Schizosaccharomyces pombe: one gene and its partners. Changing the gene in region 3 together with the main gene of any one other region gives a genetic interaction. Each region holds a gene or a part of one and is shown on either strand. Other genes may lie near its edges.

Region 1 (3,600 bases), 1.9 Mb from region 3:
AGTGCCCCAGTGTGGGAACTTAATAGATACAACAGAGATAACGATAAGGTGAACAAATATGAAATGCATCTAAACGTTAAACGACATACAGCATGTGCATTGTTAATACCCGTGGAGAAGACAGAGCAAAGAACACTAGGATTTTTTCTTTTATCCACGGCACAATCAACTATGATATTTCACATTACAGCCATAATAGTGACAAAATAGAAATGAACGTAGCTTGTTAAACCCATTGAGTATCCTGTCCGACAAACAAGCTGTCCCTATAACACTAAAAAATGGAAGAAATTTCGATAATTCAAAATTAAGTAAACAGCAGGTTTTTAAAACCCACGAATACAACCAAAATTTACACAAGACAGACAAATACAACCAACACATAACATGAATAATATTAAAATGAATTAAAAAACATTAATGAGTCATACAAAAAATTTAAAACTTATACTACAAAGCAAAAAGCTATCTGAACTACCGACCCACAGAAAAAGTATCAATATGACTATTCCTGTAAGGGCACTAAGATGTCCAATATGGCTCTGGCCCACGTATGACGCTCAAACCATTCCATGGAAAAAGAAAAAGAAAAGTGAGCAACACGAATTGTGGGCGTCGGTATATAACCGCACGATAGGGAAACTTCAACTTAACAAACTCACGTTTATAGACCTTTGTGACTGTTTTTTAAACCCTACCCTTTTAAGTAATTTGTTTGCTGCATTTTCAGGTTATTATCCTATTGAGGTTACGATAATGTCAAGGAAAGTATAAAACAAGTGCTGTTCAAAATAAATAAATGAAAATAAAATAACACTTTTTTAATCGATTTCTGTAGAAATTTAGTCCTTTCATTTTTTAAGTTGACCCTTCATTGTTATACAACAATTAATTATTCTATACGTATATATTATATATATTGTCTACATCAATAACTGAGCAGAATTGAGCATTATACTGGATAGAAAATAAAAAAAATAAGCAGGCATTTTTTCACAAGTAAGTACATATTTTTATGATATGAATTGATAAAGGTGCAGGCGATCATATTGTTAGTTAATAATAAAAAATTGTAAATAGTAATTTTGCTTCTCCATTAAAATGAATACATAAATTTAGTAGATAATCGATTTAAACAAAAAATAGATATCCAAGCCAAAAAAAAAATAAAAAAAACCAAAAAATGTTTATTTTTTTTGGCTCATGAAACCCAGATTTATCAAAAACTTACGTTGCTTAGTGCTCAATCTCTTTAAACATGCAATAAAACAAGAATTAGCGGGACACATATATTGATATATTGCTTAAGGAATTAGTGTTCGGAAGTCTTACTGACTAAACTGTTCTTTACTTCAAAATTTACTCCTGAATTTTCATGTTAATGGAGGTCGAATTTTAGGTGGTCGATTGAGTTATATCAATAGTGATTTTACAAAAAAACAGTAAACGATTTTATATTAGCCTCATATAAATTTTTTTGAATTTCAATAAAATAAACTAAAACAAAAAATGTATTTCCACAAATTCCATCGATACAAGCATAGCAAAAGACGAATAACGCATTTAACAGTTTCTCGTTATATCACAAATAGTCTAACTGTTTAACGCAGTTTTGCGCGTACACATCTCTACTCCTTATACTTGTCCTATTACTATTGAAGTTAAAAATGTTGAATTAAATTCCACTTACTCTCTTTCTCTTCACACTTACTACTCAACATAATTGCAAAATGTTGCGTAGAAAGCGGGAGCGTCGTAATGCTGTTAAAGAGAATGAAATGGTAATTGATACACCATTGGAGAAACGCCGTACACCAGGCAAACCTCGTGCCACGCGTGAACCCCCGATATCCGTAGTTATTACTGGTCATTCCAAGGGTTCTGAGGACGACTTAATAAGCTTTGTTTGGAGAAAAGTCAAGGTTCGTCTAATGAACATTTCATATTCTCCGGCTTCGGTCACTGCCGTAGTTAAAAGCCAAGACTTTAGTCGTTTGAACGGGTTAAATGGTGCGGCTTTTGCTGGTGATCATTTGGCTATACGAAGGGTCGATGGAGCTTCTAACGTTACTCAAGATTATAGAAAAGCAAAGACAAAACGATCATTTCGTTCTGTTTCAGCTCCTTCATTATCTGCATTAGCAACACAAGCCCAGAGAAATGTTTCAAAAACGTTACCACAATCCACAAATGAGACCATTGAAAAGTTACGCCAGTTTTTGCAAACCCGTTATCAACCTGCTACTAAATTCTTGGACCTCGGAAATTTGCAACAAGATCCTCTTTTAAAGCAAATGGGGATTTTAGCAGAGGCTTCTACTAAGAGTAAGATGTTTCCAGCGTTAATGAAGGTTGCTTCTTTAAACTTTCCAGACGTTATATCAGTTAGTTTGTCGGATAACAACTTACAATCGGTGACTGCCGTAACCACTTTAGCACAAACATGGCCTAAACTTTTAAACCTTAGTCTTGCTAATAACCGGATTACTTCTTTATCTGACTTGGATCCATGGTCCCCCAAAACAAAGCTTCCCGAACTCCAAGAGCTTGTTCTTGTCGGAAACCCGATTGTCACAACCTTTGCTAATCGTGCTATGGATTATCAACGGGAAATGGTTTCGCGTTTTCCGAAGCTTCGTCTTTTAGATGGTAACAGCATAAATTCAGAGATTATCGCCTCTCAATCTACCGTCCCTTTTCCGGTTTATCAATCTTTCTTTGATAAGGTTGAAACCGAACAAATAGTCAATTCTTTTTTGGCTGCGTTCTTTAAAGGTTGGGATGAGAATAGAAGTGCACTTGTCAATCAATTATACAGTCCAAATGCTACCTTCTCAATCTCTCTGAACGCTTCAAACGTTAGAACGAACTTTTCTCAGAAAACAGACACTAAAAAATGGGGAGCTTACAAAATGAAAAGCAGAAATCTACTTTACTCACAATCACAGAAGGAGTCGAAATCTCGTTTATTTAACGGGCACGAAGAAATAAGCAACGCTGTAAAATCCTTACCTGCTACGGCTCACGATTTATCAGACCGTTCGCAATGGGTTTTTGATGGTTGGAACCTGGTTCTGCCTTCGGTTGGTGCAGCCATCAAAATTGTTGTCCATGGGCAATTTGAGGAACCACAAAACAAACGACTTCTACGAAGTTTTGATCGAACTTTGCTGATTTTGCCGGGAGGTTCCACAGGCATATTGATTATAAATGATTTATTAGTCATTCGTTCATTTGCTGGATCGCTCGGGTGGCTACCTGGTCAAAGCAGTGTACGAACAAGCAATAATGCCATGTCTGCGTCTGCTTCAAAGCCTAGTGATATTGTACAGCCAAGACCGGAACAAGCAATGTTAGACACTAGACAACAAATTGTATTAAAAATTAAGGCGGAGACAGGTTTAAATGATTACTATGCTCACATGTGTTGTGAGCAAAATAATTGGGATTACAACAGCGCTCTAGCATCTTTTTTGGAATTAAAGTCGCGAAATGTTATACCAGCCGAAGCATTTTCATGAACTTCTAGTGACGTGTATAGATAGATATGGTTAAAAAATTACAAACTGGGGAAATGGAAACTTTTATTTAATAATGGTA
Region 2 (3,837 bases), on a different chromosome or scaffold from region 3:
ATGTCAACAAACGTGGGTATTTGAATATGTATAATATTAACTTAACCGAAGAAGTAAATAAATCATTATTTGCATAATTCACATCAAAATAAAATTTTCATTCACTAAAAAGACATCAATATAACGAAAACAAATTTTTTAAATCAATTTAGCGACTTGATAATTGCCGATTGCAGCAAACGTAGCGACAAATAAAACTTTATCGTTTTAGCAATCTATACAATAAAATAAATATCAAGTTTGCAAACTCTAGAAGGTATGTTCTTAAACGAAGTATCCTGGCTTGACTATCAAAAGTAGATATGTGCCAATTATACGAACACGAAATAGTATCATAATTCTCTAAATTTACACAGAAGGAACATGAAGTTGTTCTTCTGACTCGTTAACAGCAAACGAACGTTCACTCAGGGACGTCTCTTCTGTTTTAGAGGGTGGCCGCCATGTCATATTTCTGCTTTTCGTCGGGTGGATAAAACGACAAGCTGGATTCAAACACGGTTTATATTTACAAGGAATTGGAATGGTTGACATGGACATGAAAGGTGGTAATGTAGTAACCGTAGCTGGAGATGGATGTCCCTTGACACACTGTATACGTTAGTAATAGTTAGATTTAAATTATTATGGTACTTACATCAGCAGCTTTGCATTCTTTACCAGAAGCACACATTTCACTGCTCAGGACCATACCTTCTCCTGGGGCTGCGGCTGGTGTCGGATGAGCAAATATACACTAAAGAGTTAGTTTTAACAAATTATCTGATATTAATACATACGTTAGCACGGGAGCACTTATCGGCATATTTGCACAAAGGGACCTCTTGGGTTTGAGTGAGAGCACGCTTGGCAGCAGGCATAACGGATTTCGAGTAGTTAAACGAAGCTGCCATGGGATTGAATCGCTGTTTCTGAGATGTAAGTTTGAGCTTTTGTCCGACACGCCCAGTAGGTAGCTCCTTCTCTTCACGTAACGAAGTTATATTAGGAGTTTGAGAAGATTGAGGTTGTATGCTAGTTTCCGGCACAGAGAAAGATTGCTGCGACTTGTCAGTTGACTCCTTCTCGATAAAATCGATTTCGTCGATCTTGCTGACTGACTCAACTGAAGCATTTTTTGATTTTTCAAGCTCTTCAATTTGATTAAATAACCAAAGTGAGAAGCTAGTATCAAAATCGGACCCTATTAAATCAACTAGTTCTTCATTAATTTCAGTTTGTGTTTTTCCATTGCTAAGCATCACAAGAACAAAATCGGCCAGAGAAGCAGCCTCTTCTCCCCACCCATATTCAGAAAGTTTTTTTTCAATCGAATCATGAAGTTTTTCACTATATCCAGGTGTTTCCAGTAATGTAGTCATGTTGTTGGTTTACAGTCAATAATTAACTAAAATAAGCCAAAATAATAGAGATGCTCAAATTTACAATAAATGTACTCCGAGAATTAGTAAATCAATTCCACTCCTGTTATGGAATCAGAATTTAATAAGTTATGTACCGGTATATGCTCTAAAATGAAATCAAATAGCTCAACTTAGCATGAAATAAAGGAATTGAGAAGAAAGAATACAATCACAAAAATATGTTCACAGACAAGAAGTTGGCAAATTTGCCGTTCCAAAAGAAATAAACTTCCTATAGATGATGCGTTCGGAGAGCTTCAATGGAATACGTAGACTAAAGGTAATTTCTAGTAGCAATAGTTATATTGATACTGCAAGCCGTAAGTTAAAATACAGCAAGAGCCTCAGTTCAAACGTAAGTGGAATATAAGAAATATCTTTCACAGTAAGAACAGAAAGAATTAATAAATAGCATAAAATAGCGAGTTTGCTAATTTTTTTTCGAATATTATACCCAATTTCACTATAAGAACTATTCAACGACTAACGATGACACTATAACGCCACAACGTAACAGCATTAATTAAACTAGTCCAGAATCTAAGCGTCTAATATATATACATCTAAAGGCTTAGCCAACTACAAAGCAATTACATTGCATTGTCATTTTGGAATATAGTTATTTCTTCATAGTAACTAGTAGTTCAAAATTACTTTCTCGAGCAAATATTTTCCTTCGGTTCTCAACCTTCTTAGTAGCACCAACTACCTAAAGTCTTCTAATTATCTCGAAATCGAAAACGTTGTGAAACGTATATATTGCATATAGAAAAATTTTTAGGATATAGGTGCAAGGAATTTTACAATTGATGCTGCAGTTTGAGGGCAACGAGTTAATTGATTATTGCGAACATTTCGAGTAGAAGAGTATTTGGGTTATAATTTACATTCTATTTTATCAGCGTACCCACCATTTTGAGAAGGAGCTACAAATGTCTTCACACGATGATGATCATACTCCATTACTAATTTCCGATCCGTCAGTGAACAAGCCCTTTCGATCCAGAACTCCTTCACCAGAAAGAGAATACTGTTCTGATTGTCCTTTGCAAGCTAAAGGTTCTGCATGCAACGGTAATTCTCATTCATTAAAGCATGAAACCAATGGTGCCAGTTCAAGCAATAATAACGTTGCAAAGTCAAGCTCGCATGACTCATTTAAGGCGAAGCCTAAAAATTACGACTCTACCTCCAATTCTAATGAACCCATCTCTTTCAATGAACCAGATTCATCTAATTCTCATCATAATAATGAATCTATATGTAACAATGATAACTGTTGTCGTGAAATCGCCAGAAGACGTTCTTTATCTCCACTTTTGATTCTTCCATTAAACTTTATTAATGCCTTTTCTTGGGGCATGATTGAAATACCTCTGCTCTTTTTACTTCGACAGGAACTATGTGCCATTCATTATAACCTTGATCCTACACAGTTGTCCCCAGATGACCCAATATGCCGACTAGCGGAAATTACTACTGGTGTTTCAAAAGTCCGTGCCGCTTTTGGCTCTTTAGCCGCCTTTTTAGGTCTTTTTTCCACCGCTTATTATGGAACAATGGGGGATATTTATGGTCGCCGCCTTGTACTTTTCATTACCGTCTCATTTTTGCTGCTTGGTGATTTATGGCTTTTATATCAGTCCTATGCCCCCAAGCATCCATATTTTGTTCTTTTTGCTGCTGCCTTGAAAGGCTTAGGCGGTTATATTTCTACCGTTGTAGCCAGCCAAAATTCCTTTGTTGCAGATTGTTCTAAGACCGAGTTTCGTGCATGGTATTTAGGATTAAATTTTGCTGCTTACCATCTAGGAACCGCTTTGGGACCTAGTTTAAGCGGATTCATTGTGCAATACACTCCTCATATGTATTATGTATTTTATATTACTTCAACTTTTTGGATTATTTATTTACTTTACGTTTGGTTGATACTTCCAGAAAGCCTAGATGTTTCGGAAAGTAAAGAGCAGCAGAATAAAATATCTGGATTTTCCTCGATATGGAGATCATGCCTTGAGCCACTTATAATTCTTTGGCCTCGAAGTTTATGTACAGAGGAATCATGCGAATTCCATCAGTACGATATTAATGCTGATACCCATGCAGGAAGAAGACACTGGGACGTGTTACTTGCAGCAATATTGATATCTTTAACTTTACTCGGCGCTGGTTCAATGGGCTTATTGCCGCTTTATACGGACTATAAATTTGGCTGGGGTCCAATGAAGGCTAGCTTAATATTATCCACCGACTCTTTTGCTAGTTCAATCACATTAGTTGCGCTATTCCCTTTACTTTCTAAAGTTATCGAAAAAATAATCGAAAAGCTTTATTCTTCTGAAGGATTATTTGAAGATCCAAGTCGTGCAGACAATACCTCTTCCCTACAAGGGATTCGAAATGTTTTCTCTTATTTAGTTCGTCCTGGTTATTC
Region 3 (3,837 bases):
AACTTGAAATTTTTTCTGTCAGAGAAAGAATCAGCTACATACCTTTTCAGCGGAATTTCTATTCTGAAAACTGATAAGACGTTCAGTAGTTGAAGGTTCAGTAATTTCCTCATATCCTCCAACAGTGAATAAGTATTGCAACAAAGCTTCATTTTTTTCAGGAGAAACATTTATTACACGAAGCTTAGTTGGACGATTATCGATGGACATTGACGCAAACATATCACCTCGTCCGCGACCTCTGCCACGGAAAAATGTGTTGGTACCTCGCTGGGGAAGTCCTGAAGCGTAAGGATGATGAGAACCATTAGATGCCGCTGGGCTTTCAGAAACGTTGCTCACAGGTAACCCTAAGCAATCAGCCTCAGCCTTCAAAAGAGAATGCTGAGTTTCTAACAACATGAGTCTTTTGTTTCCTGAACGGTCAGTTTCCTTAATTTTTTGCATCAGTAACTCTTGTTCTTTTAATTGTTGCTGTGCAAGCTCGCGCTTTTTTTGGTTAAGTTCTTCTAGTGCCTTTTTATTAGCATTTATGCGTTTTAAACGTTCTTCGTGCTGCCTTTGCCTTTCTTCAATCAGTTTATGAAACTCTTCGTTTTGTAACAAAGAAGCAGGATCGACATCTTCAGAACTCTCTACATTCGACGAATCGGAAGTAGTGGGAGATTTATGGGATGCAAACTTCTTTGGTCGATTGTGAAATCCCTTTGACGGATTATACCAAAATATTTTAATAAAGCGATTGTTAAATATGGGCTCAGGCGAGGACCAAGCATTGTTGGCAGCCTCATGGGAAGTGAATTCTAACACACAAGAATGATGTGTCGGATTTAATTCGACTTTCTCCAATACACCGAACTTTGAAAAAAAGGACCTAATGTTCTCCTCATTAAAATGCTCTTCCGGAATGTTTCGCACTTCTAAAGCAGTACTTGTTGGATCATTGCCAGCGTTACGAGAGAAGCGATGTCCCAGATGGGGTTGGGGATACGCTTTGTATGGATTAAATCTTCGATTACCAGGAGAATGCCTACGAAGTTCACTATTATGCTCATGGCGCATGCCAAATCCTCTTTTACCTCGCATCTTAAATGGGGGAGGGAAAGGAGGCTGCGCCGCAGGATTAAATGGTAAGAATGGTATGGGAGGCATTGCAGGATTTGGTAAGTTTCCAAACCCAGGAATACTGGGCATGAATTCAGAAGGTGCTGTGGCTGCTGGATGGTACAACGGAGGTCCAAACATATTAGGCACCTGAGAGGGAAAAGTGTTTGTTTTTCCTACAGCAGGTAAAGAATTATTAAAATTGGTTTCCATGCTGTTGGTGGCAGGGATCATTGATGAAGTTGGCGAATACCTTGAAACTTCTTCAGTCACCATACCGGTTGACGGCATATTTGAAGCACCCTCCAAGTAAGATTTTTCACGTAAAACATCAAAAATTTTATCAACAAAAGGAATTGTCTCCTGTCGCAAAAAATCTTCTAGTTGTGAGTAGCATAACTGGCGAACTTCTTCTTCAGAAGAATCGTGCCTTAACAATGCCATAGCATAATCTGATAAAACACTTGCATCAGCATCAGAACTAGTCATTTCGTTAGCATATTGATAAACAATTTTTTAGCGTGTAAAAAAAAAAATCACGCAAATTGGCAACTCAAAAAAAATTACATACATTGGCTCCAACGCCTGTTCTAAATATCTTTTCAAATACTAAAAGCGTTAATTCGGCATCTTAAAAATAAAATTACCTCAGCATGTTCTTCTAAGAACAACGGCATTGTGATGGAGCAAAGTGCTGGTTGTTGGAGCGTTACGCATGGTTGAGCCAGTAAGAAAATATAGATCACATAAGGTAAAATCTTTAACAATTAGCCAGAAAGTTCAAAAAGAATAAACATAATACCAAAATAATAACAAATGTCTTAGCTAGGGCAATTGGCTGGGATAAAATTTAACTGAGTAGTCGACATTAGATAAGGAATAGGAAGGTTTGCATAATATTACTCGTATTTAGACTACTAATATACAATGTATTTTAAGTCAAACTCTGACGATTATGAGAGTTTCGAAAGAGTTCACTTGTCTCCAATTATTTCATTGATTAAATTGTCAGCACAACAGTGAGTAAACGTGTTAGCTATATGCACTTTTTTATATTTTAGCACCACTTATAAATAGTTAATTTTAACGGTGGAGTGATTACATTTATATTAAATTATTTGAAAACCTAACTCGTCAAGAGAGCTAATGAACGTCCGGTATAGTCCGCATGAGTAAGTTGAAAATTAAAAAAAAAGGAAGTCTCTACATAAGAAGAGAAGAAGTTTTGCTTATGTACATGCGAAAACGCTTTTTACCCATTTTTTAAAAAAAAAGGTGATGTAGAAAGAAAAGAAAGATTATAAGTCGGGAATGAAAGATAATAGTTTAAGTTGACAGAACAAGATAAGGAAGTTAAGTGACAGCAACTTTCAATTAAGCCTTTATTTAAACCCTTCCAATTAAGATGAGGCAAGTAAATGATCAAGATGTGTAATGAATCATCAACATCCTTTTTTTAATTATCCAACGATAAATCCTATTTCAGTGGGTCTGTAAAGCAATCTCATATCCCAACATAAAAGGAAATGTCCTTAAAAGTATCCTAATAAATTCAAATCGGGTAAGTATGTAATAAAAGTATAACGACAATAACTGATCAATAATATAGCGAAAGGCGCCAGCAACAACGGATAGCAAAAAAAAAAATAGCTGAAAATTTTAATCAAAATTTACGTTATGAAAAATGACAAATACTAGAACAGTATAAACATGAAAAGCATTAACAACGTTGAAAAGGAAATAAACGATCGCATCCTTTATAAATAGGATAAGGGTATAAGTAAATCTAGTTCTGTTTAGAAGAAGGAGATTCAGAGGACTCGTTACTCTGTATGCTATTGTTTTTTCTATGTATTGAAGCAAAATATGAAGAACGAAAAGCTTCCCAACCTTCGATCACCAATATGTCAAATCGTTTGCTTGATAATATAAGATGGACACCACAATCCAAAGGCTTTCTCACCTGGAACCACGGGACAGGAGTTATAACAAGGCGAATGTTAAAAAACCTCATCGCTTTGTTGACTTGTTGAACATAACGTGATGGATATACTATTGTAGTCCGATACAATCCAGAAAAATAAAAGAGCAAAAGTGTAACAATTCCGCATAAAAGACAAAGTTTGTAAGTCAAATCAATCAACGAGTATTTTGAGATGCGATAAAAGACGCGATAGCCAAAGTAAAAGTTCCACACCAATAGTGAGACATAGAAAGCCATATACTTTTGACGACGAACTTGAAGCTGTAGGTATGTTTTCCGAAACGATGCCTCTAAAATTAACAAGTTGTGATATACGGACAGGGTGTTGGGCACATAAGAGGACATGGCATTTTATTCACTCTTAACAATACGTAGGAAAAAGAATAAAAAGATATAAAGAACTTGAAAAACAGAATATAAGAAAGCTTTTTGGAGATAACAATAATTGGACAATATCCAACACCAATTACAAGAAGTCGTTATGAAGACCACAGAATGAGATATGTGCGTAACATAAGAACTAATTCAATTAGTAATAGTACAAGCCGATGATTCTAAAACAATAAAAGAACAGCCCTTCTAATTTGCTGATTCAAGTATCAATCGGATGGCAGATTCTAAAAGTCAATGTCAAAGCTACGCGCCGATAGCTATAATATCAATAGTGTGCAGCTGTCTACTTCGATATGTGCTATAGTAAACGATAGTAAACGTTGGTATACTGTATAACGATGCAAAATATAGTGAGG

What was found.
Region 1: mutations in rmn1 (region 3) and mex67 are lethal when combined (synthetic lethality), as found in Schizosaccharomyces pombe (one study listed by BioGRID).
Region 2: mutations in rmn1 (region 3) and nab2 are lethal when combined (synthetic lethality), as found in Schizosaccharomyces pombe (one study listed by BioGRID).

What each region holds. Positions count from the first base shown.
Region 1 is NC_003423.3:2,408,225-2,411,824, reverse strand, and holds the start of mex67 (nucleoporin Mex67), read left to right. Parts: upstream 1-1,703; 5' UTR 1,704-1,730; coding exon 1,731-3,521; 3' UTR 3,522-3,600. Other genes in the region: SPOM_SPBC1921.04C (uncharacterized protein), read left to right, coding at 421-774. UniProt on the Schizosaccharomyces pombe protein: Involved in the export of mRNA from the nucleus to the cytoplasm.
Region 2 is NC_003424.3:5,238,457-5,242,293, forward strand, and holds the start of nab2 (poly(A)-binding protein Nab2), read right to left. Parts: upstream 1,763-3,837; 5' UTR 1,362-1,762; coding exon 780-1,361; exon of another isoform or gene 737-779; coding exon 638-736; intron 592-637; coding exon 349-591; 3' UTR 1-348. Other genes in the region: SPOM_SPAC14C4.07 (transporter), read left to right, coding at 2,336-3,837. UniProt on the Schizosaccharomyces pombe protein: RNA-binding protein involved in RNA processing. Acts as a regulator of mRNA stability: binds to mRNAs and pre-mRNAs, preventing their degradation.
Region 3 is NC_003423.3:487,826-491,662, reverse strand, and holds the start of rmn1 (MTREC (exosome adaptor) complex RNA-binding subunit Rmn1), read right to left. Parts: upstream 1,808-3,837; 5' UTR 1,782-1,807; coding exon 1,752-1,781; exon of another isoform or gene 1,714-1,751; coding exon 1,676-1,713; exon of another isoform or gene 1,586-1,675; coding exon 43-1,585; intron 1-42. Other genes in the region: protein phosphatase regulator Nem2, read right to left, coding at 2,891-3,433.